Linked DNA regions of Mus musculus. The protein of the gene in region 4 binds, or shares a complex with, the protein of the main gene of each other region. Links are inferred from orthologs where the notes say so. Each region holds a gene or a part of one and is shown on either strand. Other genes may lie near its edges.

Region 1 (5,837 bases), on a different chromosome or scaffold from region 4:
TTCTACCTTCCTCAAGTACATTTTACTCTAATTTTTCTGCAAAAGGACAAGTAACCAAATCTCTAACGTTAGTATCTGTTTAAAGTATACAAGTAAAAAAGAGAATGCTCTTGTGGTTAGTTCTCATATCTATTCTGTGTGCTTAGGGCACTCCTAGCTTGGTTTTCATAGCTGAGACACTGGATAAAATACCTTTGGAAAACTGAAGTATTATTACTATTAACTCAAAAAAATTCTTTTGAAATTTAGTCACAGACTAACTCACTTTTAATTTTTCTTTATTTCTACAGATTAAGAGACTATAAAAAATACACTTATATTCAGGCCAACTCTAAAAGTCTATTAAGAAACATGAACATCTCAGTTCTAAGTTAACCCATTCTCCAAAGTAGAAAAGAGTAGCAAAAATCATTTGTTTCATTTTGTTATAAAAGATGAAAAGCTATGGAACTAAAAACGGACCAAATCAAAACCCTGCTTTTTAAGGAATTTACAAACCCACTTTCAACACAGCCATGTATTAATTAACTTAGAAGGGTAACAGAAGCACACGATTATCATTTCTCTAACCCAAATGGAACAAAATCACCCACTCATGGAGCAAACCAGTAAAATCTAGTTAGTATCTATGAAACATTACCGGCTAATAATAAAACCTTTCTTGTTTGGGCCAGTAAGTCTTAAACATCATAGTCTCTCCTGGAACATACAAAACTATGTAAACCAATGGTCAACCAACTATGTGACTTCTTGTGAAGTACACACACCCATGTATAGCTGTCCATAAGGATAAGAAATAGCCTTTATGCATTTTTAGACTAATCTTAGCACAGTGCCTCACTAGAAACACATTTAAACAGTGAAACCTGGATCTGGATAATAGCAAGGCTTAAAGAAACATCAATCTATAACTAGTATAAAAGCCTTTTCCATTTCTAAAATTTAGTTCATTTTAATATTTAAAAACTTGCTTTTTCTAAATTTAGATTACATATGATGTAATCATTATCACTGTCTCTGCATACTTACACCCTGGATGCTAATACTATGATAACTATCTTCAATTTTCTAGCCCCCCCTAACAAATGTTAGTGAAGAGAGAATGAAATAAAAGCTACAATAGTACTTACCTTCCTTCACACGATTTAAATCTTACTAGTTGAAGAATCAAAGATTTTTGATAAGGAGCTAAGAAAAACTCAGAAACTACTTCCACTTTCAAATTTAATAGAATTCTGAGTTCTATCTAGTTGCTAAAGTTCTTATCTAAGTTCAACCAAATCAAACTGAATGTTAATTAGAATGTTCAACTTAGTATTCTTTGGAAAGAATATAAAAGTTTAATTGTGACAAGGGTTCAGTTAGGAGGACCAACAATCAATCATCTTTAGTACTCTAGAAGTAGGCGTTAATATAAGCTCAACAACTTATTTATCTCTTTGGGAATTTACTTTATCAGTTTTCTTCATTAGCAAATTATGTAGAAGTAAATTGTACAAAAACTTTACAAGATCTAAAATATAGTCTATTTTGTACTGGCATAAAACTGATCTCAGAATAAAATAAAGCACACAGCAAAGAATAAACCAAAGATTAGTATAATTCCCTACAAAACTGTTACCACCATTAAATTTAAGATTATAAAGAAATACAACTTTTTATCCAATTAATTAAGCCAAATTCCTGAAAAAATGGAAATCTATAAACAGTACAATTCATTTAAAAAACAAAGCAAAATACCTACAGTGGCATAAGATTACAGCTATATAAATCCAAATCTTATTTACACATATATCTGCAACTGATTCTTTTCAATATTTACTTTTAAGTAACACTGGTTCACTAAATTATTGTAAATGCACTGTTCTGATATTTAAGGGGTATTCTAGAAAATTATCATTTGTCTTTTATACTGTGTATGCCTCAAATAATAATAATGCCTTAAGAATATAATGTGAAATTTGTGAAAAGTATGTTAGTGGAACACTTAGTTACACAACAGAACATTTTAAATCACATTGAAACTCCCAACTTATTTTCAAAATCAGTAGCACAAGATGTACTGTACAAGGCACAGCTGCTCTGCATAACAATCTCTCTTTTTACATTTTATTTATGCTCTTAGTAGACTGGGATAGTATTTTAAAAAAAGCCTTTAAATCAAAACAGCAATTTCATAGTCCCTAACAAGGCTGTATTTAAAAAAAAAAAAAAGTAGGAAAGACAAAATTTTCCTTCTGTTACACTATCAGAATATACTTTTACTTCCATAATCACACCAAAAGTGGAAAAATAAACAAACAAGCAAGCAAAAAGCAAGAAACAAATAAAATACAAGGTCTAATAATAAAAAAAAAATACCAGGAACCTAGTGTTTATATTTCTAAGAACTGATACTAACAGTATTGGTTTAAGAAATTAGGTCCTCATAAACAAATTAAATTCACCCAGAGTAAACCTTTATGCAAGTATAATGTTAAAAATATTACATTAGGTACCCAGGAAAACTTGTTGTGATATCAAGTATATGGTTTTTATATTATTTTATATTTAAATATCAATAAACAAAAGGGACAGATTATCAAAAGATTTTTATCTAAACTGTTATCTTAAAGGGAAATAACAAACAGAAATGAGTTGCTATATCCCTGTCACACTAAAGCAGCACAATAATATTGGTGTTTAATATTTATTTCACTACGCCAATATTTACGTGCTGCTAGAGTGGAACAAGCATGTCAGATATCCAAACATAATACAACTGTGATGGTACCATATAATCTTGAATGAATTTCCTTAAATTTCTAGAGCAGCAAATAATGATTCGCATCTTGACTGTAGTATGTAAACCATGATGTGCTGCTACAGTACTTTAAGGTTCCAAAAGACAGGACTCAGCAAACAGAAGAACACTCTTTCAAGCTTTAGTACAAGCCAAAAATCAAAAACCAAGAACCTTGGAAGAATTTTTAAACGTACCTGCAAGATTAAAAATCGATTATGGTCTAAGTCAATGCCATGGCTTCTAAGGAGATTTCCAACATCTTTAAACGTCTTCTTCTTCCCACTTATGTGGTAGACAGAAGTGCTATCTCTGTAGGCGGTTCTGGATACATAGAAGTTGCTGTTAGGAAGGACTTCGTAATCATCTCCTTCCTGTTTTTAGGAAAAACAGAACCCGAAAACTGTTGGTATTAAATCACAGGTTTAATCCAGATTTCATTTACTTTATACTGATACTAATTCAACAGATTAAATATTTTTCTTGTATTCTTTAACAGATTCAGATGTATATAACGAATTTTAATCCTTTTCACCTATTGCTTGTTTTATTTCCCCTGAATTATGTATGGCCATAGGCTGACAACCATTTTAAAGTGAGATAAAAAATAAATTGCTTTACAAAGGACTAGATACTTCTCCAAGTTGTTTGGTTTATTTCTCAAAAATCTCTAAAAGTTTAAACCAAGCAAACACAAATTTCAGCCTATTCAAAATATATCTGAATGAGAGCCAAGGAAGGCGAACAAGACCTCAGCATATCTACAACAACCCACTCCACTCAGATAACCTTGGTGACTGTTAAAAAGCTTCAAGAAGAAACAATTTAAGGAAAATATTTAGGGGAAATACTTTTCTGGTAGTGGTAGGGTCTGCGAGTAAAGATTGTGTATGATTGTGTGTGTGTGTGTGTGTGTTTGTGTGTGTAGGGAGACAGGATTCCCTTTCCTAAACAGCATTTCCTATCATTAATTAGAAGTAAACCATCATAAAAATTTGCAATCATATACATAATAAAGGAAATCAAGTTATAAGTCCATCTTAGCATTAAAGTTCATTTATTCTTAAAAGGCTCCGTGTCATATTTAATTTTGGATTAATTAAACAACAGGTACTAGACTATCATGACTTATTGGCAATCTAATTCTCTAACTCAAATGTGCAACAGAATGAATTCAGAAGCAAAATTCTGATAGATGCTTCTGTGTAGTTAAATTTCTTTATATGTAAAACATCCCCACCAGCATCCAATTATCTGTTACTTTACTATGGGCACTTATTTTTTAAGGTTCTTTTCCGTTGCTTTTTGAACCATGAATTTTTCTAAGCTATTAAACAGATGCCTGTCCCCTACCATTTCAAAACATACTTCATCACGGTAGTTCAAACCTTAGAAAATTTCATCTCTCTCTCTCTCTCTCTCACATAGCTACTAATTATTACATTTTAGAGTCAATTATTGCATTTTAAAAATTAAAATGTTTATCCTAAAGCAAAAAAATGTACAACTTTTCAAATGAAGCCCATATTTATAGTGAGTGAATGCTGAATTAGCACTTAGGGCCCCTACATCACTGTATTCTTCCAAAAAGCTGAAGTAAATATGTTCACAGAAGCAAAATCCATTTCTTATTGCTCTAATTATACACAAAGTAAAATAAAGAACAATTCAGATCTACAATAACAAAATGTGGCATGTTTCCTTTTCTTGCTTGAAGGTGCAAGTAGAAAATCTTACCTTATCAATTATCTTTTGAAAATGAACTTCTACAGTACAACTCTGAATATCCTTGTGTTCATCAGAATTATGTATCAGTACCGATAGCTTTTTAGACCTTATTTTTTGTGCTCGATAGCCAAACACAAAAAGCATGGAATCAATAACATTGGATTTTCCACTGCCATTTGGTCCAATAATACAGGAAAAGCGCTGCATAAAAGTAAATTTTTAAAAATTTAAATAGTCACACTTAATACTAATTTTAAACTACTCCATAATTTAATTTGTAATAAAAATCAAAGGTATCATTAAAAGTTTTCATTAGAAGATAAACACTTTTTCTTTCTTTCTCTTTAGAAATAAAAGCAGTTTATTAAGAAAAGGAAAGCACCCTAGGAATGGAGTGGGCCAGGGAACTGAAGGAAAACACAATCTGAGTTTTCTTACATCATGTTCTTCAATAGCACAAGCTTCACCATTTAAATAAAAACCACCTTCAAATTCTAATCCCGACATTTTACAAAACTCATTAGCACAGTCAACGGGGAAAACATTCCCTTCTAACAAAAACAGATTCCATTCAATATGCAAATATTGCTAAAGATATACCAAAGACATCAGATAAAGAAAAACTCATTCCTGTTGTTGAAGTCACAGGCAACATACTGTCTGTGCGTCTATGAGCATATGTGTGTAAAGAGTCAGGACCGTTAGAACACTGAAATATCTTGTAATTAAAGATGTATTCCACGTTATCTGAGCAGGCAGTACCTTATGGAAAGGTCCCAGAACTTTCTCTCCAGCATAGGACTTGAAGTTTTGGTTTACAATATGAGTTATCATGAGACGAGGAGCTCCAGCTTCACTGGCCATGGCTGGAGGTGGGGGTGGAGGGATACTATTCAAAATCTCCTCTAAACTTCTGTTATCCAGCTCCTCACCTGGAGGCTCTAGGTTAAGGGAGAGGCAAAGAGGGGAAAGCCTACATTAGTGTAATTAGTTGAACGTCTATCATCTGCTAGTATTTAAAGAACACAATGGAGGGATGTTACTTAAAGAAACCTAGGAATTTATCTTCCATACAAACATATCCTAAACTCATGGGGATGGATAATCCTTCAGATTAGTTTTATGTAAAATAAAATTCGTGAAAGCAATCAGACCAGTCACAAAATGTGTGGTATACACATTGTACTTAGAGGAGTCAAAATACTCAATATACCATAAAGAAAACCTTGCAACAAACGGATTCCCTGATGCAGGAGATGCAACCCTAACAATCGAAAATCCAACTCTCCACATGGCTCAGCTTAAGAAACTCACAAACTTCAGTAAC
Region 2 (5,837 bases), on a different chromosome or scaffold from region 4:
ATCTCTCCCCTCAGTAGAGAAAGAAACAGAATAAATGACTGTCCAATTCTGTCCTCCCTGCATGAAGGGTCACAGGAGGCTCTGTCCTCCTCACCATAGCTTCTATTTGCTGTTTCTTCAGGAGACTCACAATGAGAAACAAATTAGCAATGCCCACCAAGGTCTGAGAATGAGGAAAGGCTTGGACAAGTTCTCCTGATAAGTAGGTACTTCCAGAGAGTTCTTGGCCCTACTAGATCACACCACTTTCGCATGCCTTGTTTCAACTCATAGCCAAAATATTAGCTCCTATGAACAGGAAGTGTAGTTATATTTCTTTGAAATTCCACAATATCCAAGATTAGTGCTGTGTTGTACAGGCCAGAGCCTATCCACTTGTCTATTCATTAGCAGAGTGTCTTAGTTAGGGTTTTGCTGCTGTGACAGACACCATGACCAAGGCAACTCTTACAAAGGACAACATTTAATGGAGGTTGGCTTACAGGTTCAGAGGTTCAGTCCATTATCATCAAGGTGGGAGCATGGCAGTGTCCAGACAATGATGCAGGAGGAGCTGAAAGTCCTAAATCTTCATCTGAAGACTACTAGAAGACTGGCTTCCAGGCAGCTGGGAGAAGGGTCTTAAAGCTCACACCCACAGTGACATTCCCACTCCAACAAGGGCATACCTACTTGACACTCCCTGAGCCAAGCATATACAAACCACCCCACAGATCCTGCCCACTGCTTCCTGCCCCTGGAGTATGAGGAAAGCGGCCATGCCAGCTCATTTCTCAGCACTGTTCACTGCTATACACTGAGACAGAGGGCATCAGAAACCAGGGAAGAGACTACCCACCATTTGGAAGAGGCAAGAACTCTTCTCCCCTTACCTGAAGTCCAGGACAATAGTTGGAGGTGTCGTTAGGGTTGTTGTAATCATAGTCTTCAATTTCCTCATAGTGCTCAGTCTTAGCCTTCTGGTCCTGGTCCATCTTAAGTGACTAGAATAGAGGAGGGGGTGTGCAAAAAGAAATCTCTAAAAAAAGCAGCTACTGGGCGAAGCTGGGGATATCAATCTTGTTTCCTATTTCAGTCTCATTTTAGCAGGACATGACCCTAGAGTGTGTGTGTGTGTGGCTAAAAGGCTACATAGTCTAACCAAGTCTCTACTGCACAGAACAACACAAGATACAGGACTCAGAGCCACTACTCACCCCCCAAACCAAAACACTTCCTCTTCTGCTCTGCAAACTGCATCTTCTGCAGTTTTACTTAAAACCAAAGGCTGGCCACCCATCTACAACTTTCTAAAAGAAACTCAACTTGTACTTGAACAACCCTGCTAAGAACTCCTTATCTTAAAGGCAGCCCACAGGGGCCTGGGGAGAGGACTCAGTACAGTGCTGGCCTTGCAAGCATGAGGCCTATGTCTGGCTCTTCAACACCCATGTAAAAAAGCAGATGTTCAGGAAAGCCAAGAGATGGGTCCCTAGAACTGTGCTGACCAGCCAGTTTAGCTAACTGGTGACTACAGGGCGACGTGAGACACTGTCTCAGGAGGAGCTGGGAGGATGCTTAGTGGGTGCAGCTGTTTGCCACTAAGCCTGACAACTTAAGATCAATCCCCTGGTTCAATATGGTAGAAGAAGAAAACTGACTCCTCCAAGTTATCCCCTGACCTCTACACACACACTGCGGTACCCATGTGCATGTTCCCACACAGGATATACAAGGAAGACACCCCAAATCTACATCTGTCCCAGCACATACACAAGCATGAGCGCACGCGTGCACACAAAAAATAAAATAATAAAGGCAGCTGCCCCTTACTGGGGCAAGCACACAGCAAAGAAAGAAGCTCTTTCCCCTACTTATCCCTGAGTTTTCATTCAGCCTTCCACAGCCCACAGAACTGTGCCTCCCTATGGGAGGGCTCAGGCACCACAGCCCTCAAGCATCTGTGGCTCTTACCCTGTCGGCTATCCTTGGAATATGCCTTTGAATTAAGGAGAATGTAGCTGGAGATGGATTTAACTTGCAACACTATCTTGATGATTCTAATACAATCTAAAATCAACTGTTTAAAACAATATTTTTATAATACAAATTCAAAGATAATATCAAACATTGAGTGAGTTAAGGAATGGCCCACTAGCCGAGCAATGCTGGCACATGCTCTTAATCATAGACCTTGTGAGGCAGAGGCAGGCAGATCTCTGTGAGTTGCCAGCCTGGTCTACAAAGCTAATCCTAGGATAGCCAGGGCTACTATGCAGAGAAACACTGTCTCAAAAAACCAAAAAGAAAAAAAGGAAAGAGAGATGCCCAACGTCCTTCCACTGTTTCTCATGACACATGGAGCTCTTCTCCACTGGGAAGCCCTTCTCTGTGCATGTGCAAGCTTGCCCCTTGCCAAACTTCTAGCGTCTAGTGTAGCTCCGTGGAAGAACAAAGGACCTCCAGCTCCTGCTGCCTGCCTGCCTGCCTGCCTGCCTGCCTGCCTGCCTGCCTCTCATATGATTCTGAGTATAATAAAGACCTCAAGTTCTTTCTTTCAAAGAAATACTGACAAGCAAGGCATGGGGGCTCGTCCTAGCATTTATGAGGTGGAGACAGAAACCTGGACTACACAGTTTCAGGCTAGCTTGAGCTACAGGATAAGCTTCTGGGTGGGAGTGGGGTGGGGGTCAGGAACAAGAAACAAAAGCAATTTGTAGAAAATCAGCTACTTATTGACAGGGGTTGGGGAAATCAAAGAGTAAAAACCAGACTCTACAATAGGACGGCTTTTCTCCATCACATTCTCCTCTCAATATGCAAATTACCATCTTGGCTAGCCTACTGAAAAGTCCACAATCACAGCCACAGGGAGGGGAGCCATCCAGGGGACTCTGCTGTGCGGCTGTAGCTCAGCCTTGCTCTGCCATCCTGCACCAGACTGTCTGTCCTTGCTGGCATCAAGAGCTGCAACTCAGTGCTGTGCAGCTGCCGATTCCTGTGTTTACCAAAGCATTTCTGCTAAGTGAACAACATTGATCAGAAAGAAAACATGCCAGTCTGTTTTAAGTAGAGTGTAGCATCTTGGTGAACTAAGGAAAATATATGCATATCATTAAAACTGCACGGTGACTAAACACAGTGGTGCACAACTGGAATCCTGGTCCTTCAAAGGGCTGAAGCACGGGGCTGGAGAGATGGCTCAGCGGTTAAGAGCACTGACTGCTCTTCCAGAGGTCCTGAGTTCAATTCCCAGCAACCACATGGTGGCTCACAGCCATCTGTAATGGGATCTGATGTCCTCTTCTGGTGTGTCTGAAGACAGCTACAGTGTACTCATAAAAATAAATCTTTAAAAAATTTTTTAAAAATGCGGAAGCATGAGGAGCCAGAGACTGAGGCAAGTTGGGAATATGTCGCGAGTTCAAGGCCAGCCTGAGCTACAAAAGAAAACAAAAGTTAGAACATGCTCAAGCCCTAGAGGAAAAGAACGCAAGCTCATGTAGAAGAACAGACAAGATAAGGAGGAAACTACAAACCAGTGCAAGAGCAGAACTACAGAGCTGGCTGTAACCTGAGCGGAGCGCTCTCTGTGATGGGGTGTAACCCAGGTGATGGGCTATAACCAGGAGGAACCCTCCGAGACCCTGCGATGGGCTGTAAGCAGGCAGAGCTCTCTGAGTGAGGGCTCTGCAGTCTCTGTCCTCAGCTCTACCTCACCATCCACTCTCTGTGACCCCTCCTGGCCTCCCTCCTTTCCTCTGAGGTACTGCACATCAGCAACAGGACAAGCCACCTGATCCACACAGGCCATCGACAGGCCTGGCAGCCACAACAGCTTAAAGGAAGGGAGGCACCATCTTACCCTTTTGCCTGGTTTGAGGTGAAGCTGGATCAGATTATCAGTTTCATAGTGGAAATCTGTGGGAAGAGTGGTGGCTTTCCAATTCTGGTTCTCCAAAGTGGACTTGGTCAGAATGGTAGCAGCCTATTTGTTTAAAGAAAAATTCTTAATAACTGACAAATGGGTTTGGGCATTGCTCTACTACTTGCAACTCTCGGGTCTGTCTGATGAAGTGATGAAGTGATTGTACTAGGCACGAGAGCAGATGCACTTAACCAAAGTACTCAGAGGGCTGAGGCAGGCGCGCTGGCATGAGTTCAAGGCCAGCCCTGTAGAGGGCAGGAGACTGGGCTACATGGTGCTACCCTATCTAAAACCCTAAACTTTCTTGACCCTGCCACTGACTTTGTTTCTCAATGGTCCCTCAGGGACTGAGGGAGAGAACAGACTACTTGCTTACCAAATTAAAGTTATAGCTAGGCATGGTGGCATATTGGGGAGTATAGTCAGGAACAAAAATTTAAGGCCAGCCGCATCTATATAGCAAGTTTGAGGTGAGGATGGCCTGCTACATAAGACCCTATTTCTAAAAAACAAAAACTGAAATATACAATAACTTTCTGCTTGCTTCTTTTGTTGTGGGTCTCTCTATGAAACCTGGGTTAGTCTGGAACTCAGAGAGCCACAGCCTCTGCCTTTGAGTGCAGAGATTAAAGGCGTATACCACTACACCAGGCTGTACAATGATTTTGTTGTTGTGGTGGTGATTTTTCGAGACAGGGTTTCTCTGTATAGCTCTGGCTGTCCTGAAACTCTCTCTGTAGATCAGGCTGGCCTTGAACTCAGAGATCTGCCTGCCTCTGCCTCCTGAGTGCTGTAATTAAAGGCATGCGCCACCACCACCACCCAGCTTGTTAAGAGACTTTTGAAAAGCCTGTCTGAAAGGGCAAGAGGAGGGCAGTCATCTAAGAAGGGCACGGAGATCCGGCACAAACCTTTGTTTTCTGAAAATATGCATCAAAATCAATATCATCATCAAAATTAATTTCAAAGTCTTTCTTTGCACTCTTCTTTTTGTGCTCTGTGCAGGAGGTAGCATCTTCTGCAGAAATAAACAGTTTATAGCACCGTTCGTCTCCGTGTCAACAGTATTCTCATCTCACATCTACCAATGGCCTTGTCAAGCTTAAGGTGCAATTTATGGCAGTTACACATCACTACACCTCATGCCCACCTAACTTAATGTCTGTAGAAGGCTGGAGGGGCTTCCTCCAGCCCCTCCAATTTAAGAGAGGCTCCTACAGTTTAAGTCGTACTGGTCCGTGGAAGCAGGGTAAGGCCATGAGCCTTGTTCTCCCGACTAAATCTCCCTCTTGCCCCTCCTGCTGACTCTCCCGAGGTTGACACTGACCGCAGACAGAGGCTGGCTCAGCTCTCCGGCTTTAGCTCCTCCTCAGGAGATGCAAAGGACAGAGATCAGCAGCATCTCTTGTCTGCTTACTGCAGACCGCAGGCAGCATGTGCCGCTGCACTGCCCTGTCTACAAGTCCCACCCACAGGACTTACGCTTGGGTCGAGGCCTGAAGCGCCAGTGATCTGGGCCAGCCCACATCTTCATGGTCCGGGGACTGAAATAGGAATATTCCCCAGGTTTCATGGATAAAAAGGAGCACATGACTTGGATGTCTCTGTCCTCGAGGGAAATAACTTCTTCCCTGTAACACATATGAAATCATGTTCATGTACACGGCATGGAATATAAACCATGTAGTTACATGTAAGAAACTGATGAAACCGGAAATGCTAGCCACCTCTTCTACCACAAAAGAGCACTTCTTTCTTTTTCATTTTTTTTTTAATATGTATGGATGTTTTGCCTACATGAATTACATACGTGCCTGGTACTCTCCAGGCCAGAAGAGGGCATGGATTCCCTGGAACTGGAATTACAGATGGTTGTGAGCAACCAGTCCAAGCAAATACTTCATTAAGAAACCAGCAAGTTAGCTGGGCG
Region 3 (5,837 bases), on a different chromosome or scaffold from region 4:
AGGTTAAGCGCGCTTGAAGAGAACCTGAGTTCAGATCCCAGAACATACATGGTGTCTCCTAACCATCTGTAACTCCAACTCCAGGGAAACCCAGTGTCCTCTTCTGGCCTCCGTGTGCAGTGCACACATGTACGATTGCATACATGCCGGGAGAGAGACTCATAAAACAACAAAAGTTTAAAGTCTGTCTTAAAGCAGGGTGAAGCGGTGCACGCCTTTAATGCCCGCCCCCGCCTCTCTCTCTTTCCTCCTGCCACTCCCTAATGCCATCTCTTAAGAGACAGAGGCAGGCAGATCTCTGTGAATTTGTGGCTAGCCCAATCTACATAAAAGTTTTAGGAAGGACTGGGCCATGTAAGCACCTGTCTCAAAAAAGAAAAGTGGTCACCCAACATCCCTGGCTTCTCTTCCTGCAGACTGCAAGCTCTGAAACTACAATGGAGGAAGAACTGGGGCTGGTGGGGGGGGCCACTGCTGACGACACAGAGGCGGAGCTCATCCGAAGCATCTGTGAGAAGGAGCTGTTGGACGGTAAGAAAGATCGCTATGTGCCCTCCCCCAGTTGAATCAATCTGTCCCTAACCTGGACATGTTCTTTTGTCAGGCAACCAGGTACTAGCTGCCTTTGTTCCACTGCTACTTAAAGTCTGTAACAACCCTGGCTTATACAGCAACCCAGAGCTCTGTGCGGCTGCGTCGCTGGCCCTTGGCAAGTTCTGCATGATCAGGTAGGCCTAGTTGGCTTCATCTCAAGGAACATGAGATGGTACAGCCCTCTTGCTTTCCTGATGGGTCTCTCTTTGCCCTCAGTGCCCCTTTCTGCGACTCCCAGCTTCGTCTTCTATTCACCATGCTGGAAAAGTCTTCACTCCCCACTGTGCGATCTAACCTCATGGTTGCCACAGGGGATCTGGCTATCCGCTTCCCTAACCTGGTGGATCCCTGGACTCCTCATCTGTATGCCCGGTAAGAGATCCCTGGGCCACCTGAGACCCACTAAGAGTTCACGGGCTCCTCCCCCACCCGTGGCACTGACTTCGGTACCTGCTGGCTGTTCACCCTGTACAAGCAGGCCCGAAATGGGCACTGGGAGCTGAAGCTTCCCTCTAAAATCTTGCCTACAGATCTCGTGGTCCCTGACTCCAGCCTTGGAGCTGCTTCTAAACTGGCGTACTGTGGAACAATAGATCCTTGTTCTTAAGGCCTTCCTATTGTTCTCAAGGTACAAACACGAGTTCTTGATCTTAGTGACTAGAGTTTTTATTCCTAGCCTCCGAGACCCAGCTCAACAAGTGCGGAAGACAGCGGGGCTGGTGATGACGCACCTGATCCTGAAGGACATGGTGAAGGTGAAGGGGCAGGTGAGCGAGATGGCCGTGCTGCTCATCGACCCTGTGCCTCAGATCGCTGCTCTGGCCAAGAATTTCTTCAATGAGCTCTCCCACAAGGTGAGAGAAGCAGCTTGGGGCTTTGTCGGGGAGATGGATAGGTCCCACTTCTGCCGGCTGCTCCCCGCCTCATCTCATCCTTTTCCTCCTACAGGGCAATGCTATCTATAATCTACTCCCCGATATCATCAGTCGCCTGTCAGACCCAGAGGGCGGAGTGGAAGAGGAGCCCTTCCACACCATCATGAAGTATGGCTCTTTAGATCTAGAGTAGTGGGGGGGGGGGCACACAGACTTAGGATGGATGGATGGATGGATGGATGGATGGATGGATGGATGGAATGCAAAGAATGAAGAAGAATGAACACAGGGTCTTGCATGTGCTAGGCAAGCACTCTGCCGCTGTCTTCAGCTCTAGATGGACATTTTAGCCGTACTTTCTCCACAAGTTACTTGACCTGTTTGCCCGTCTTAACCGTATGAGGTTGACAGGACTTGCTGCATAGTTGTGGAGGCTCTTACATAGGGTAGGGTGCTGCTTGAGGGTGAGGGTGAGGCACATAGTAGCAGTCACTAGGTGGCAGCTGTTATTTGCTTTCTCAATAAAGGGAAGGAGACCAGAGGACAGGCGGTAGAAGGCCATGCAAAGAACTCTCTTCTAAAGCAAGGACAGAAGAGGCCATGCTGGGGTTGGGGTGGTGGCTTCAGTGTAGGAGCTGAGAAAGGGGTTTCCTGGCCAATCGTACACTCTCTCCTCACAGGCAGCTCCTCTCCTACATCACCAAGGACAAACAGACTGAGAGCTTGGTAGAAAAGCTGTGTCAGCGGTTCCGCACAGCCCGGTATGCTCCATTTTGGGACATCTTTGTGCTAAGAGGGACCTTTCAGAAGAGAGAGTCCCTGGTGGCATCCGTGGGACCAAAGGAGACTGAAGGGGGAGGATGTGTGTGCCTCACAGAGTCTCTCCCTCCCTGTAGAACTGAGCGTCAGTACCGAGACCTAGCCTACTGTATGTCCCAGCTGCCCCTCACAGAGCGAGGTCTCCAGAAGATGCTAGACAACTTTGAGTGCTTTGGCGATAAGCTCTTAGATGAGTCTGTCTTCAGTGCTTTCTTGTCAGTTGTGGGCAAACTGCGTCGCGGGGCCAAGCCTGAGGGCAAGGTGAGTGGTCCTGTTAGGTTCCGGTGCAGTAAACTTCATCTGCCTCCCTAAGTGCTCTGAGACTCCTGTCTGAACTTTCTGCCTTGCTAGCCTCACTACAGCTATGGAACCAGAGTGACTAAGACCAGATCTTAATTCCTGGTCCCTTTTTTAAAGGCCATTCATTTCCTTTTTTGTTAACATGCATTGGTATTTTGCCTGTGTATATGTTTGCATGAAGGTGCCAAGTCCCCTTGGAATTGGAGTTAGACTGTTGTGGGCCCTGAGAACTGAACACAGGTCTTTTGTAAGAGCAGCCAGTGCTCCTAACCACTATGCCACCTTCCCAGCCCCAGTGAAGGCCTTGAGATAGGGTCTTGCTATGTAGACCCAGCTGCCTCAGACTAACAGAGATTCCCCTGCCTCTGTCTCCTGGTAGTAGAGGTATGCCGCACATGTTTGCACTGGACTGCTTCTTTAGAGTAGTTTCATGTTTAAAGCAAAAGTCAGTAAGTAGAGCTCCCATATGCTCTGTCCCACACCCGCATGGCCTCCACCCCATGACCTTCTTGTCCTGGTATACGTGGTCCTGGATGAAGGAACGTGATTGACAGATCAGCATCCAAAGTCCACTCACTGGACACAGTGGCACATACTTACCACTTGTGTCATACTGGGCATTTTCAGGACTTTGAGGTCACCTTACCCCCCACCCCTGTGGTGGCATCAGTTAGTTGGAATCACAGTTTCAGATTGGTTTCTTTAGTTTTCTCTCTTTTCATGGCTATTTCTTTTTAAGCAGGGAGATAATGTTTCCAGCCCTGTCTTTAACTTTCTGTCCTCCAGGCTATAATAGATGAATTTGAGCAGAAGCTTCGTGCCTGTCACACCAGAGGCATGGATGGAATAGAGGAGTTTGAAACTGGCCAGGGAGGCAGCCAGCGAGCCCTGTCTGCCAAGAAACCCTCCGCTGGTATGAGAGGGATGCAAGCCCACATGGGGCTCCTATGAGTGGTCCCCACCCTTTTTTTGTTCCTTTGTGGTTTGTTTTTGGTTTTGAAATGGTCCCCTTGCCTTTCTTTTCTAGTCTCAAGGCTACAGCCTCTGACTTCTGTAGACTCAGACAATGACTTTGTCACACCTAAGCCGCGACGTACCAAACCTGGTCGTCCACAAACTCAGCAGCGCAAGAAGTCCCAGAGGAAAGCCAAAGTTGTCTTCTTGAGTGACGAGTCCAGTGAGGACGGTATGATACACCCTCCCAACAGATCAGCTGCCTGTGTGGGGTCTTCCAGTGGGGCTTGCCTAGCTGTGGATTCATTCTTCCTGGCCATGTCTTCCTCACTATGCAGCTCGGCTGACTTTCACAGTGTGCCGTGTGCGTGTGTGTTTGTGTGTGTGTTTGTGTGTGTGTGTGCACACGTGTGCGCGTGCGCACGCGCGCATGTGTTTACTTTGAGATCCATTTTGCCCCATCTTTATGACTCAGCTTTTGTTCCTATAATTCTTTGAATAGAACTTTCAGCAGAGATGACAGAAGAAGAGACACCCAAGAGAACCACCCCCATCCGCAGAGCATCTGGGCGAAGACACAGGTCCTAGGAGCTGCCTTTGCCTACTCCCGTCCCTGCCGTGCAGGGTATCTTACTGGATGATCTTGGATTCAGTGCCCCCCCCCCCTTGTAGAAGTGCTTGTTGTCTGTGGTTTTAACATGGAAATGGCCTTTGCATTGAGGTCTTTCTCTTAGAGCCCTGCTGCCACTTTCCCTTTCTCCGAGCCTGTGCCAATTGCTGTTTTCTAATGAATAAATGTTTTTATAGACTTTTAAGCATCCTGTCCTGGCTGGTCTGTCCCATCCTTAGCCCTGAGCTGTGTCTGGATCTTCATGGCCCCTGTGGTGCCTCATCCTTGCACAACTGAAACTCTGCTGTGCAGAATTATGCGGTTTCTAGGTTCACGTGAACAGTTCTCAGCAGTCTGGGGTACTTTGCACCCCAGAAAACATTCGGTAATACCTAGAGACTTATTTCTGTTTGCCTTGTGGGGCAGGGGGCTGCAGTGAAAGCCTTAAGATGAAGGCCACCTTCATGCACATTGTGCCCCATAACACAGCATGTCAGGAGTACACAACTTGAGAAATGCTGCTCTAGACCTAAGGTTTGTTTCCTCTGTGCGCCCCACCCCATCCCCCGAAGACTGGCAAATGACTCAGCCTGGCTAATGGCAGAGATTATGAACCCCACTCAGTTCTATAGGTGACAAGGTCCATCGCCCCAGAGCCAGTCCTTCACTACACTAAGGGGTCTGCAGGAGGTCCAGCTGTAAGCCATGCTGTGTGCCCACCATCCCCAAGCCCTTAATCTGCTGAGTCACTTGGAGCAGGAGGCACAACTGCTGTTTCTGCTGCCATGACAACAGCACAGTGCTGCTGAAGTGCTCCCTACCTCTTGGTGAGGGGACAGTAATGATAGATGACAGGCGTGAGGCAAAAGGGAAGGTGCACCTCTGAAACACTAGGTTAGGGCTGGGCTATGGAAGGGCTCTTTGGGTAGGAAAAGGGTTAACGCTGTGCATAGAGCCTCGGTAGGAAGGCAGAAAAGGGACTCTGAATCTGCCATGCCTCTCCTCCCCACCACTGCGCTGGGGCCACTCCCACCCTTCCCACCCTGTTCATCTGGCCTGCTCCCCGCTCATGGGAAGCCTGGGCACGGGCCACACAGCTGTCAGTCTAACACAGCCTTGGCTCTGGGGCCCCAAGGAGGTAGGGCAATCTGGAAGGGCAAGGAGCCAAGACTAGATTTGGGGTGCAGCCCAGCGTGCTCCCTGCCTTTTAAGCAAAGGTTATCACCAGGCCAGCTAAACTTAGCAATAGGCTCTTGAGCTAGATGAGCAGGGGGCTGGTTTCATGTTGCACTGGCCTAGCAAAGAGGCGCCAGAGTCCCCCTGCCCTGCACCTGCTACAGTGCTCCCAAGCCCTTCCACCCTTCCCAGCCTCCCTACCCTTCGGAGTGAAGAATCCCGGTCTCGAAAAGACAAAATAAAACCAAAGAATGCCTTTTCTCCCTTCCACTTGTGGCAAGAGGCTAGGGGCTTCCCTGTCCTGGCTCAGGGGTATAATATTTCCTCTCCTGTGTTCTCCCCTCACTGATCTCACCCTGTGTCCACGAGGGCAGCCAAAAAAGGAGAGTCCCTGGCTCCAGGGCCAGTCAGCACGTCCCTGGATGGGGAGGGACTTCCGCCCTCACGTCCCAACTCTCCACCCTGGGGCTACAGTGGGTGAAAGGGGCAGTGTCTCCTAGCCTGGGCGG
Region 4 (5,837 bases):
CTCAAATGAGTTTTAAAACTAGTATCAGACAAGTCTGATGGCATACACCTATAGTCCTATCTACTTGGGGGCAGAGATAGTACAACTGCAAATTCAAGGCCTACCTGAGCCCCCTGTCTCAAAGTAAGTGACAAGAGGGCTGGGGATATAGTTCAGCAGTAAAACAGACAGTTGTCTAGCACCTGTCAGACCATACATAGGCTTAATACCCTGTAAGGAAAATAAAACTAATGATACATACATCATTCCTATAATGAATCTTATACTTTTCTGAAGTCCAAAAGCACTTGATGGCTAATCACTATTAATATATTTTGCTTAATATCCTTTGTAATATAATCCTCCTAATAACAAATGTGATTCGAGCAGAGCAGTCACTAAATAGCAAATAAATATACAGATAGAACAAAACTGTTAACTTGCAGTTGGCATCTGAAATCATTAACCCATCAAATTTCTAAGTGTTCAAACATCATTAAAGAATTTTAAAATTGAATTTCATTATAATTTATAGATAAGTTTGTAGTTCTATTATATGCTTCATTAAAAAAAAATCTTGAGATAAACACCTTTAAACTGTCCTCCCTCCTCAGTATTAACAGCATAACAAGCAAGCCAACATTTGCAGACGTAGTAACAGAAGTCTTTACTTCAGTGATCACCTCACTAAGTGGGGAGAATGGTAATGGAAATGATGTTGTTTTAGTAACTTCTAGGATGCAAAACATTTGCCATGATCACTTCTATTTTCATCATTTCTCCACATTTACCCAAAGACACACTTCCCTGCCTCCCATAACTGTCTTATATACTAGAAAAACAAAAGGCTCAAAATATAAATGTAGTTCATCATGATTTCAAAAATCCCAGGAGAAGGCTTCTTTAATCAAACAACAATGATCTTCATGCAGTTATATTTGCTATCCACAGGCTACCATATATACCTGATAATCCTGAGAATTCTTTGCCTTAGGATTTAATCTACTTGGTCTTGTCAGATCAACAAGCAATTCAACAACATTTGTGACATCTACTTCAGCTAAAGGAGATGACACTGGGGCATTGGCCAGTGTTTGCACAGTTGGAATAAAGGCTTCTTCAAAGCACTCCTGATTAGTCCTATTGAAAAGAAATCAGGACTTTTAGTACAAGGCCAAGGACATCTGCCCTGCTGAAGACTTCAGATCCCACTAACCTCTTTGCCACTCCAACTTAAAGCTGCTGAATGAAATGATTTGAAACAAAAACAAAAAAACAACAACAAAAAAGCTCCAATGTTTTCGCAAGTTGGCAAAACATTATTTAAGAGAAAAGTTTTAAATCTAAAATATTCACAAACTCTCTATTGAAGAGATATAGTTCGTTTTATACCTTACATATGCAGGAAAGAGAAATCTGGGTATATAAAATGTATGTTACATTCTTATGATTCATCTATAGAAAAGTGTGTCAAGAACAAAATGGCCGAGACATAGTTCAGGTGGGGAGAGCTGAACCTGACTTTAGGTAAGATTTAATCAGTGACTCACTACCTGTTTGCATAAGCAAACATGGGGAAAAACACTCCTAGGCAATGTCGAAGTCGAACATCCTCTTCAGTCACAGGATTATACCATAACAAAATAAGACGAGAAAGAATCCTGCTGCTGACCAAAAGCCCAGAAAACATCAGCTTGGCTAGTCCTTCTGCAGCTCCTGTCCTGAGTTCAGATACCTAGCAAAAATGACATTCATTAGAAAGTTTTTATCTCTAGTTTCCTTTATGTGTGATATTTTAAAATAACTATCCAAAAATTAATTTTATTATGCATGTGATAAAAGGAGTTCTACAGGTTTTAAGCTAGACTTGACTACACAGTAAGTTTTAAATTAACCTGGGCTACAGAATGTCACTGTCTCAAAGATCAGAACTAAAATAAAATACTTATGGGATTGCAATGAACAGTGCTCAGGGAAGTTCTGCAGTAATAAATATCTCCATTTTAAAATTTTTAAAAAATGTATTTTAAAAAAATCTCAAAATGATAACTTAAATTACACTGTAATAACAAGAAGAGAGCAATTAATCTGACTGTGAGGAAAACAAAATTTAAAATTGAAGTAACCAAAGAAAATCGTAGCAAACCTAGCTCATCAACAGTGAAAGGACTATACATCATGAGCACACAGAACTTAACCCAGAAATCCACTGATGGTGCAAATGAAAATCAAGTAATGTTCCATACCATACAACATATCAAAGAGAAGAAAATCCCTCATGACTATATTGCCTGAAGCAGAAAGAACAATTGACAAAATCAAACATCTTTTTATTAAGATATAAACACAAAACAGCCAAGGATATAAGAATAGAAAGTAATTATCTCAAAATGATAAACAGTATTTATGAAAAACCCTGTAACTAACACATTTATTAACAAGATTCTCAACTTTTCCACTAAACTCACAAATATGACAAGGACATTTGCTTCAGACACTTAACGGCTGGTGTTCAACACTGTACTAGATGAAGCAGAACAATTAAATAAGAAATAAAAGACATGGAATTAATACTGTAGCTATTCAGAAATGACATGGTTCTACACAGAAAAAAATCCCCAGAATTCCTTTTCCAAAATTACTTAATAAGCCAATTCAAAAAAGTTATAAAGTTAAACACACACACACAAATCTCAGCTGAGATTCTATACTACAGCAGTGAACAATCCAAAAAGAAAATGAAGAAAAAACAAAATAAATTTAATACTTGTTTTAAATAATAAAAAGTATTTTTAAAAATGAAAACTATGTTAATTTTCAATACAACTTGTTCTAATTTCGTTTCTGTTACTGTAGTAACAGAAATGTGGCAAAAGCACTTTCAGTTCTCTGAACACTAGTTTGATAATGAAAATATAGTAGATGTGAAATTTACATTTTAAATTAAGATTTTTTTTTAAAACCAAATAAAATCCTGTTAAAAGTAAACGAGTACAAAATTCAAGCAAAGAACATAAACACGTGTTGCAAATGCTTCCTAACTGTAGAGCTGGGTGACTTCTTACCTCGCTGTCTAAGAAGTCGGAGAGGAGTTTCAGAACACTCTTAGCTGGGTCAGTCTCTCCAGCATCATTTTCTTCTTGCTTATCATGACAGTTTATTTCTTCACCTTCACATTGAACGCCCTTAACTTTCTGGGTTTTAAATGGCTCAATTCCAAACATCATCAATTGGTCAATGATTGCCTTTAGAGCACTTATTTTTATTGTGACATCATCGATTTGCAAAACCTACAATTAGACATGAACACACACCCCCCAATAATTTCAGTAAAACAACTTAATTCTATAACCTAAATAAAATTAGTATCTTTTCTTAATTAAATCTCAATGAGTGTTAAGTGTGAACATTTCTAAGAATTAAAATTAAAGTTTTCATTTTAAAAAAGAAGTATGTTTATCTCATAACATCTGGAGCTTTAGCCCTTAATTTTTGCAGTGGAAAAAAGTTTCAGAGTCAGCGTCCAGATGGACTGTGCTATTTGGTTCTTTCATAACAAAACAGAAAAAAGAAAAAAAAGAACTCCAACTATGATAAAGTTTTATCATTTGTCCAAGATCCAGAAAAACTGCACTGTGTTTTATATATAAATTGTTTTACCTGCCTATCAAAAATATTAATACAGTATATTCTAATCCATTTAAACCTTTGTTACAGTCAGTACTATTAAGTTTCTTTGAAGGAAAATTTTTCTCATTACTTAGTAAATTCAGATTTCATTAATAGTGAATTCAGGTATCAAGTAGTCTTTTATAAAGCAGTTTAGGGAGCTAGAGAAATGACCTAATCCATAAAGGGCCTGTCAAACATAGGCAGGAAGACCTCATTTCAGATAAACAGCAACCACACAGGAAGCTAGGTGCATAGCAGTGCACAATGATACCAAAGAACTGGGGGCACAGAGACACGTGGATCCCTGAAATTCATTAGCCGACTAACCTAACCAAATCCAGGAGGTCCTGGTTCAGTGAGAGGTCCTTGTCAGAGTTAGAAGAGAGACTGAGAAAGATATCCAACATAGATCTCTGTATATGCACACAAATAGTTTAAATCTATCTTGAGTTAAAAACTACACAACAAATTCCAAAACCATGGGGGCAGAGGCATTCTACTATGAAAGATTAACTATATTATACAATGTAACTTGGCCTTTAAAATAAACAAAGATCACTTCTATATTGGTCAAATTATTATAATTAGAAAAATTATTTATTCTAAAAACTTTGAAGAATATGTCAAGAACATATCCACTCCATGCTTTGAGAATGAGCCCTGTAAATCTGCCAAAACCAAATTCTCTTTACATGCTGTTACGATGGCTCTGGAAACTCCAAATATGCTACTAGCTCAGCATCAACTGTTTCCTTCATACTCTCATTAACCTTTACATGCAGCAATAGCTACCAATATTCAATCCTAATGAGATTTTAAAACAAATTAATTCCCCTCTTCTGCCTTTCTAACAGACCTTTATACATTATATCAATTTTTATTACTAACAGTTTGATATTTTTTATTCCAAAATAAAAACAAACAAACAAAAAAAACCTTCCAATAGAGCCCTGAGAATGCTTATTTAAAATTAAAAAAAAACAAAAAACCAAAAAAACAAAACCTTTTATAGAGCTGTGCATGGTGGCACATATCCTTAATGCCAGCACTCTGGGAACAGAGGTATTCAATAAGGTATTCAGAGGGTCTGAATTTGAGGCCAGCCTATTCTATAAAGCAAGGTCCAGGATAGCCAAGGCTACATAGAGAAACCTTGTCTCAAAATATCAAAAACAAATAATTTTTAAAAACCTTTATAAAGATTACAAGATTGAATCCATTTAGTAGTTATCTTCTTTTGATCATAGACCCTGTTGTATAACTTTTTAAAAAGCTAAACAATAAATAAAAAATATCTAAAAATTAAAAATTATACTTCAAAGTAACATATAAAATATAGGCAAACTTCAGGTTTTCTGCCCTTGAATCTGCTATCATTCAAATACTTTTAACTTTAAAAAAAAAAAAAGGCCAGATCCAACAACTGATTTAACCTAGGTAAGTTATTAGACTTTCATATCCCAAGTTAACAGTATTTATATGTAGGTATATAAGTGGGCCAGGGCTATGCCCAAGAAAGAAAAAGAAAGGGTTAGGAGAATAATAGGACACATGAAATCAAAACAGAACAGAGGCTTTAAGAGGTAAAATGGTATGCAGTGGGTGGGTTGGGACAAAAGAGTAAAAACAAACCAACAGTTTCTTCCCTGACTCATTCATAATGGAAATCTGCATTTTTACAGCGTAAGTTCTTGGAGCACACAGACATCCCACAGTCTTTCTCCTGTTAGACTGCATTTGGCTTATTTTCCTAGCCATATGTCCTCTTGTTCCTCAAACAGTAAAGTCCTACCCCTAAGACCTCTCTCCTCTATTCTCTTTCCTAAGAAACAAACTGTCTGAGCTGGAGAGATGACTCAGCAGTTAAGAGTAGTTATGCTCTTGCGAAGGACACGAGCTCAGTTCACATGAACATCTGTGTCAGGCATATGTGTCTGTGACCTATGATCCCAGTGTGGGTGACTCAATGCCCTCTTTGGGCTTCCATGAGTACCTACACACACACAGCAGACCTAAAAAAATAAAATCTTTGAAAGAAAGAAAGAGAAAAGACCGTATTCTTTCAAGTATTTATAAGGACTACTCTTTCTAACTTTCCTCTACGAGTCTGAATTAGAAAAATGTAATTCAAAGTAAGACTCAGGCCAGCATCACGGGCACAGCCACTGTGCCTCATCTCACTCCCA
Region 5 (6,339 bases), on a different chromosome or scaffold from region 4:
TATTTCTAAGAGGAGGTGAAACATTCCATCCTATAGCAAAGCACCTTAAAATTCAGGAGGTAAACCATTTAAAACCTCCAGGAAAGCCCGAAACAGACCAGACTCACTGCCCACTCCCACGGCCCATTACGCTTATGCAAGAAGTACTGTTGAGAGACACTCTCAAATAAGATAGGCTGCAGACCAGCAACTACTTGAAAGATGCTGGGTTCAGCTGACCTGCCTCCAAGAGAAACTCTAAGTCAGTGGTCCTCAGCCTTACTAACGCTACTAGCCTTTGATACAGTTTCTCGGGAGGTTGAGAACCACTGCTGTATCATAGTGCAGTTCTGTGAAACAGTTTCTTCTAAGATTGGGATGTCCCATTCTGCAGGGAAGTTTAAAGAGAACAAACTCAAGGTAGCTTCAAGAAGTCCCTAAAGCTAACCAGACCACTAGGTGCCTTCCTGTGAGGGCAAGCAATAAGACCCGACTGCCCCAAGGAAGCTGAAGTGCAGGAAGACTCTTGAGAAGAGAAAAGCTACACAGACCACTGAGACCAGCCCAGCTACCTGGAAGAGTCTGGGCCCAGTGAGACTGCTCTAAAACTAGACCAAATGATAGAAAAGATACTCTCTCATCTGTCAAGTTGTCTGCAGGCTGTGCAGTGTGCTCTCTGTTCCTAGTTGTGTGAGCTATGGATGACGCAGCTGTCTTTGAGTCATTTCTACTTCTGTAAATAATTCCTCACCCCAAATCCTGTAAGTAATCCTAGTACAATTCAATGGTTTACCAAGCTGCACTGTGGTGGTATTCATGCTTTGGTCTATTGTTGGTTCTCTACTTGGGGTGAGCAGATCTTTCAAGAAACAATGCCACACAACATAAGCTATCCAGATATTTGACAGCTACTCACCTGTCTTGTTACTGTGATTTCATCATGAGCTTCAAATCCCAACGGACTCTGCTTTTTGTCAGAATTATCAAAAGTGATTGAAACAGAGGCTTTGGTAATCCCAGCCTGTCCATTTTTATAAACGAGATCTTGTAAATTTGAAGCCCGCACCTATAATTAAAAAGGGAAAGGAAAGTTCATTGACAAAGCATCATATTATACAAGAGCAGGATTAATACTATATGTGTTGTTCTGGAAAACCCACCTATATAGTGTTACGTTAAGTAAAAACAGGCAGCCACATCCGTCAGCAAGAAAAGCAAGGACTACAGACAATAACTTATAATATGTACTTTTTTCAATAGCACTTTCTTTCTGTTTTGAATTTCTACTGACTTAGCAAGAATTAATTTCAAAACTCAAGGAAGTACTGTCTATGAACTTCACTAGCCATCCCATGCCCATTAGTTCACTCTGATAGGGCATTCACTGTAAGCACAAGTGAAAGAACCAGTATTGGCTCAAGACACAAGAGTGAGGGAAGGAGAGGGAGAGGGAAAGGGAAAGGGGTATTTGTCCTGGGTTTGGGAGTAGAGACAACAAAGGACTGCCTCTGGGAGGGTGGGAGACAGCTGTGCTCCACAGACAAACAGCACTTTATAAACATAAATGGGAAACCCCCATGTTAGGATAAATTGGTTAATTTTGATTGGGCATTTTAATTAGGTGAGCCAGGGGGGGGGGGTGCTTTGATTGCTGGACTTCAATACTTTGATAGCTGGACCTTGGCAGTCAGCCTCAGGAGGCAGAAGTGACCAAAATAAGGGAATGGACCTTGGTGGCTAACTTTAGGAATGTAATCTAACAGTTTTTAGCAAGGCAGAGGGACTGGATGGAAGGGCATGGCCTGCTAGAGCCATATTTCCACGAGAGGCCAACAAGAGTCCCTTCAAAAAGAGCAGGTATGTTGGGTATCCTAAGTTTCTGGGCTAATATCCACTTATCAGGATACCCAAGATATAAGATACAATTTGCTAAACGCATGAAACTCAAGAAGAACGAGGACCAAAGTGTGGACACTTTGCCCCTTCTTAGAAATGGGAACAAAACACCCATGGAAGGAGTTACAGAGACAAAGCAAAGTTTGGAGCTGTGACGAAAGGATGGACTATCTAGAGACTGCCATATCCATGGATCCATCCCATAATCAGCTTCCAAACGCTGACACCATTGCACACACTAGCAAGATTTTGCTGAAAGGACCCAGACTATGCTGGGGCCTAGCAAACACAGAAGTGGATGCTCACTATTGGATGGATCACAAGGCTCCCAATGGAGGAGCTAGAGAAAGTACCCAAGGAGCTAAAGGGGTCTGCAACCCTATAGGTGGAACAACAATATGAACTAACCAGTACCCCGGAGCTCTTGACTCTAGCTGCATATGTATCAAAAGATAGCCTAGTCGGCCATCACTGGAAAGAGAGGCCCATTGGACTTGCAAACTTTATATGCCCCAGTAAAGGGGAACGCCAGGGCCAAAAAGGGGGAGTGAGTAGGTAAGGGAGTTGGGGGGTGGGTATGGGGGACTTTTGGGATAGCATTGGAAATGTAAGTGAGGAAAATACCTAATAAAAAATTAAAAAAAAAAAAAAAAAGAAATGTGGGAAACTAAAAAAAAAAAAAAAAAAAAAAAAGAGCAGGTATGGACTGAGAACAGAGACTACCCAATATAACAGTGCTGGTATGCTGGTATGGGTGTTACTCCCAACAGCTTAGGAGGACAAACCTCAGGCAAGGCCTCTGTATGTATCTTTTCGTCTGTCTACAGGATGAAACAGTAATAGTATTTGCTTAAACGGCTGCACTGCAACACAACATAACTCACATGAAGTACAAACAAAACACATGAAGTACAAACATGCAAAGAAAGAAAACCCAAAGTCTCCACAGATTAACAGATTCTCTTGCCAACACATAAGTCAGAAAAGCTGACACTTTACCTGGGACAGGTTGGAGATGCCTAGGAGAAAGCATATGGAGTCCAATATGTTGGATTTTCCACTACCATTTAAACCAGTGATCGCATTGAAGAGGGGGTCAAAACCATTGACTTCAGTCCTCTGTGCATAGGACTTGAATCCTTCGAGAATGATTGATTTAACATACATTTTCTAAACTGTCTTGGGTTAGTAAGCCTGTTAGGCAACAAGCTACAAGTCACGTCTGTATAAAACAGAAATAAGATCATTTATGTAGAATGTTAAAAACCCTCAAATCATAGTAAATACGACAGGATACACAATAACGTAAAGTAAAAAAAAAAAAAAAAAAAAAGAAAAGAAAAGAAAAGAAAAAATACACCTGCCAAACTACTTTTTCTCCTAAAAACAGCTGGCTCAGATTTTAAAACATCCAACCGTTAGCCAATGCCGGTAAGTTAAACCATTTAACCTAAAAATCATCTTTATCATTACTGTCCACTTTCCTAGGTTCGTGTTGCACTACAATACTGTAGTTAACAGAGACTACTAATTATTTCCCATTTCATTATCCTTGCCACAGACGACACTGGACTGAATACTCTTTACTGCACACCACTTAGCATACATCTTACAGGAGTCCTTCATGGATCTCCCTAATAGCACGCACACCCATCCTCTCCTTCCTTTTTCCTCCACAGCAGTAAAAGATGACATCAGTCGGCACCGTCTTTCCAACTCATTCTCGGTCCCGTTGTGCTTTTTTGCCTACATACGACCTTAACTCTGTTTACACTCGACTCTCAGAACCCGGGTAGTTAGTGAACCTTAAGGGCGAAGTGAATCCATTCTACTGCCTCGTTTTAAAATTCCGTGTTCTCTCGCTTGCCCAAGCCTTTCTCGATTCACCTTACGGATGAACAACAGTCAACATCTCTAATTCTCGCTTCAAGTCCCTCCTTGAGAATCTTGCCCACCCCTGTGCCTCATCTCCCGCCTGGACACCAGGCCGGGCCAAGAGCAGCACTACGCACCCGCCACAAAGCGGCTGGCCAGGGGAACCAGCAAAGTTCCAACCCGACGCGAAAGTGGACAGTGAGGCCACCCGACCTGTACTCAGGCGCTACCGGGCGAACGCCACCATCCCGGGCACCGCATCCGCTGCAGCCAACAACCGTGCCGGAACTGTTCCTTTGAATTTCGGCGCGAGCAAAGGACCCCAACTCCGAGGCGTCTGCGCTCTGTTGGTGCCTAGTATCTGCCTGACTGAAGCGCTTCCTCTTTTGCCCTAAGGAAAAACACAGAAACGACATAGCGACAATAAATAATAGTTTTAATATTGGAAGGTAGGAGACTATACCGTTTTGAACATGGAAAGCGAAAATGAAGATAGGTCGTGCTGACATCGCGTCAGGCATGCTCTGGGCAGCACCTCTTCCAGGTCTGGGCCTCGCGCGTTGCCGGCCCCGCCCTCTTTCTGGCCCTTTCAGGCTATCGGTCGGAGCCTTGGCTTCTGTCCGCAGGCTCCGCCCCCTCCCGGTCTACGCTCTTTGCTGCGGGGCGCGGCCGGGGCGGGCCGGGGCGGGGGCGGGCCGGGGGTCCCGGGACCCTTCGAGGATATTACAGGGTGGAAACCAACACTAGTGAGAAAAGTCCTCTGAGGCTTCATTTTCTACTAATTGAAGAGAAAGGCACTGGCTTTGAAAACACAAACCAAAACCAGTTCCAGTTTCCGGAGGGGACTGTAGGCCTGCAGTATGTGGAGTTTGGTGGAAGATGCTAGGCAAACGGCTGTAAGATTTTTTTTTTTTTTTTTATGCCGAAAACCTGTTTAATGATAAGCAGTGGCTGACGTACCGGTTCACGAAATGTTGCTGAAGCTTCTTAATAACAGTTTGTATTTACAGAGTTCTGTAGATCGGGTAGCTGTGTTTCAAAGGCTGTCAAGAATTTCCTCAACAAACGTGGAACCCTAGTGTTTCCTTTTGTACAGACGAGTTTATTGAATCACTGGGTTAAACGACTTATAAGTGAAGAGAGATTTTTGTTCCAGGCTGCCTAACTACAGAGTGTGTACTCCTAAACTTATTATCTACAACTGCTAATTTTACATTGCTAGTTAGAGCTGATCCCCATCAACTATGTAATTTAAAAAAAAAATGGTGTTGGGATTATTTATATTTAAGCATCAATACTAAGAGAAGGGCTTAGCTTTGTTTTTTTTATTGAAAATTTATTTTTTTTCCTACCGTATATTCCGATTAGTTTTCTCCGCCCCAACCTCTCCTAGAACCTCCTCCATTTCCACACTCACCCAAATCCACACATTTTCTTTTCTCTTTCTCATAAGAATATAAACAGACATCTAAAATGATGATGATAAAATAAGATTTTAAAAACAGAAGGACCAAATAAACAGGAGGGGGAAAAAAGCCAAAGAAAGAGCATTAGAGACACAATGAGACACATTCACACAGAGATATACACACAAAACATAAAAACAAAAGCAGAAACCATAATACATAATAAACAAAAGATTTTTAATATTAAATGGAAATGTTCAGACAAAGCAGTGTGAGACAAAAACCCTCTAAAAATACCATTAAGTTCGTTTTATGTTGGCCATCTATTGCTAGGCATCGGGAGGGACTACCCTTAAATATGGTTTGTACACCCAGACATCACTGGAAAAATGATTTGCTCTGCAGCAGTTATCAATTGGATATAGCTTCTGGGTTAGGATGGAGGATTGTTTCTATTTTCCCTCTCAATACTGGCTTAGAACTGCAGGTCCTGTGCATGCTGAAATTTACAGTGGTAGACAGGGAGGAAAGTGAAGATCGCCTTCCTGAACCTGAGAACTTCCTAGGCAAGCATTGGCAGCAGGTTCTCAAGTAAAAAGTGCCAGACTGCCTGGCAGTGGTGGCGCGCGCCTTTAATCCCAGCACTTGGGAGGCAGAGGCAGGCGGATTTTTGAGTTCGAGGCCATCCTGGTCTACAGAGTGAGTTCCAGGACAGCCAGGGCTATACAGAGAAACCCTGCCTCGAAAAACAAAGAAACAAAAAAGAAACAGTACAGTATCTATAATAGTATGCTACCTGCCTTCCTGTGGTATCAGCCTATTTGTCTGTGAAATTAGCTAACACCACTTTAATAAAGATATTTTGTCTGGTGTAATTCCTACTACTCTTGAACTCCAATGACTTGACTTATTTATGTTGGCTCTGTTGAATTATACATTTTCACCTTCAGCTCTGCTATATTCCTTTGATCACTTTTTTATGAATAAGGAATTTTGATTTTTAGACAAATCTAACATGGATTTTCACAAATTTTATTACTTGCTTGGGGGATAAAAATTTAAGACAGATATTAAGACAGACATCATTAGTATGTTGGCTACCTTAATAGACGAATAGCTAGATGATATCCTTAAGACAAATGGATAAAAATGTACAGGTACTTAAGTATTTAAGTGTACTCTT

Evidence for each region.
Region 1: Ncapg (region 4) and Smc4 share a complex: the UniProt entries of both Homo sapiens proteins name them as parts of the condensin complex. The link is inferred for Mus musculus from reciprocal best matches to the Homo sapiens genes NCAPG and SMC4.
Region 2: the proteins of Ncapg (region 4) and Ncaph are in contact, whole or in part, in a crystal structure (PDB 6IGX), measured with the Homo sapiens proteins. The link is inferred for Mus musculus from reciprocal best matches to the Homo sapiens genes NCAPG and NCAPH. Residues at the interface, in NP_071741.2 of Homo sapiens: Lys11, Phe14, Arg15, Gln18, His50, Tyr51, Lys53, Tyr54, Val55, Met56, Val57, Glu62, Ala64, Val65, Val68, Phe102, Ser106, Glu108, Ala109, Asn110, Ser111, Val114, Arg115, Ile149, Arg150, Lys152, Asp153, Lys154, Arg159, Glu188; in NP_056156.2 of Homo sapiens: Glu471, Ile472, Asp473, Phe474, Glu475, Asp476, Asp477, Ile478, Phe480, Val482, Tyr483, Phe484, Arg485, Lys486, Thr487, Ala489, Ala490, Thr491, Ile492, Leu493, Gln501, Asn502, Trp503, Ala505, Thr506, Thr507, Leu508, Phe512, Tyr514, Val516.
Region 3: Ncapg (region 4) and Ncapd2 share a complex: the UniProt entries of both Homo sapiens proteins name them as parts of the condensin complex. The link is inferred for Mus musculus from reciprocal best matches to the Homo sapiens genes NCAPG and NCAPD2.
Region 5: Ncapg (region 4) and Smc2 share a complex: the UniProt entries of both Homo sapiens proteins name them as parts of the condensin complex. The link is inferred for Mus musculus from reciprocal best matches to the Homo sapiens genes NCAPG and SMC2.

The regions. Positions count from the first base shown.
Region 1 is NC_000069.6:69,006,803-69,012,639, reverse strand, and holds part of Smc4 (structural maintenance of chromosomes protein 4), read right to left. Parts: intron 5,452-5,837; coding exon 5,273-5,451; intron 4,712-5,272; coding exon 4,520-4,711; intron 3,157-4,519; coding exon 2,980-3,156; intron 2,869-2,979; exon of another isoform or gene 2,805-2,868; intron 2,739-2,804; exon of another isoform or gene 1-2,738. UniProt on the Homo sapiens protein: Central component of the condensin complex, a complex required for conversion of interphase chromatin into mitotic-like condense chromosomes.
Region 2 is NC_000068.7:127,112,688-127,118,524, forward strand, and holds part of Ncaph (condensin complex subunit 2), read right to left. Parts: intron 5,539-5,837; coding exon 5,390-5,538; intron 4,926-5,389; coding exon 4,819-4,925; intron 3,968-4,818; coding exon 3,845-3,967; intron 984-3,844; coding exon 873-983; intron 1-872. UniProt on the Homo sapiens protein: Regulatory subunit of the condensin complex, a complex required for conversion of interphase chromatin into mitotic-like condense chromosomes.
Region 3 is NC_000072.6:125,166,527-125,172,363, reverse strand, and holds the end of Ncapd2 (condensin complex subunit 1), read left to right. Parts: intron 1-416; coding exon 417-531; intron 532-604; coding exon 605-728; intron 729-810; coding exon 811-966; intron 967-1,270; coding exon 1,271-1,448; intron 1,449-1,542; coding exon 1,543-1,637; intron 1,638-2,149; coding exon 2,150-2,230; intron 2,231-2,365; coding exon 2,366-2,549; intron 2,550-3,374; coding exon 3,375-3,501; intron 3,502-3,615; coding exon 3,616-3,774; intron 3,775-4,044; coding exon 4,045-4,130; 3' UTR 4,131-4,357; downstream 4,358-5,837. UniProt on the Homo sapiens protein: Regulatory subunit of the condensin complex, a complex required for conversion of interphase chromatin into mitotic-like condense chromosomes.
Region 4 is NC_000071.6:45,689,034-45,694,870, reverse strand, and holds part of Ncapg (condensin complex subunit 3), read right to left. Parts: intron 3,270-5,837; coding exon 3,045-3,269; intron 1,715-3,044; coding exon 1,533-1,714; intron 1,120-1,532; coding exon 945-1,119; intron 1-944. UniProt on the Homo sapiens protein: Regulatory subunit of the condensin complex, a complex required for conversion of interphase chromatin into mitotic-like condense chromosomes.
Region 5 is NC_000070.6:52,436,959-52,443,297, reverse strand, and holds the start of Smc2 (structural maintenance of chromosomes protein 2), read right to left. Parts: upstream 4,078-6,339; 5' UTR 3,888-4,077; intron 3,098-3,887; 5' UTR 3,043-3,097; coding exon 2,875-3,042; intron 1,046-2,874; coding exon 896-1,045; intron 1-895. UniProt on the Homo sapiens protein: Central component of the condensin complex, a complex required for conversion of interphase chromatin into mitotic-like condense chromosomes.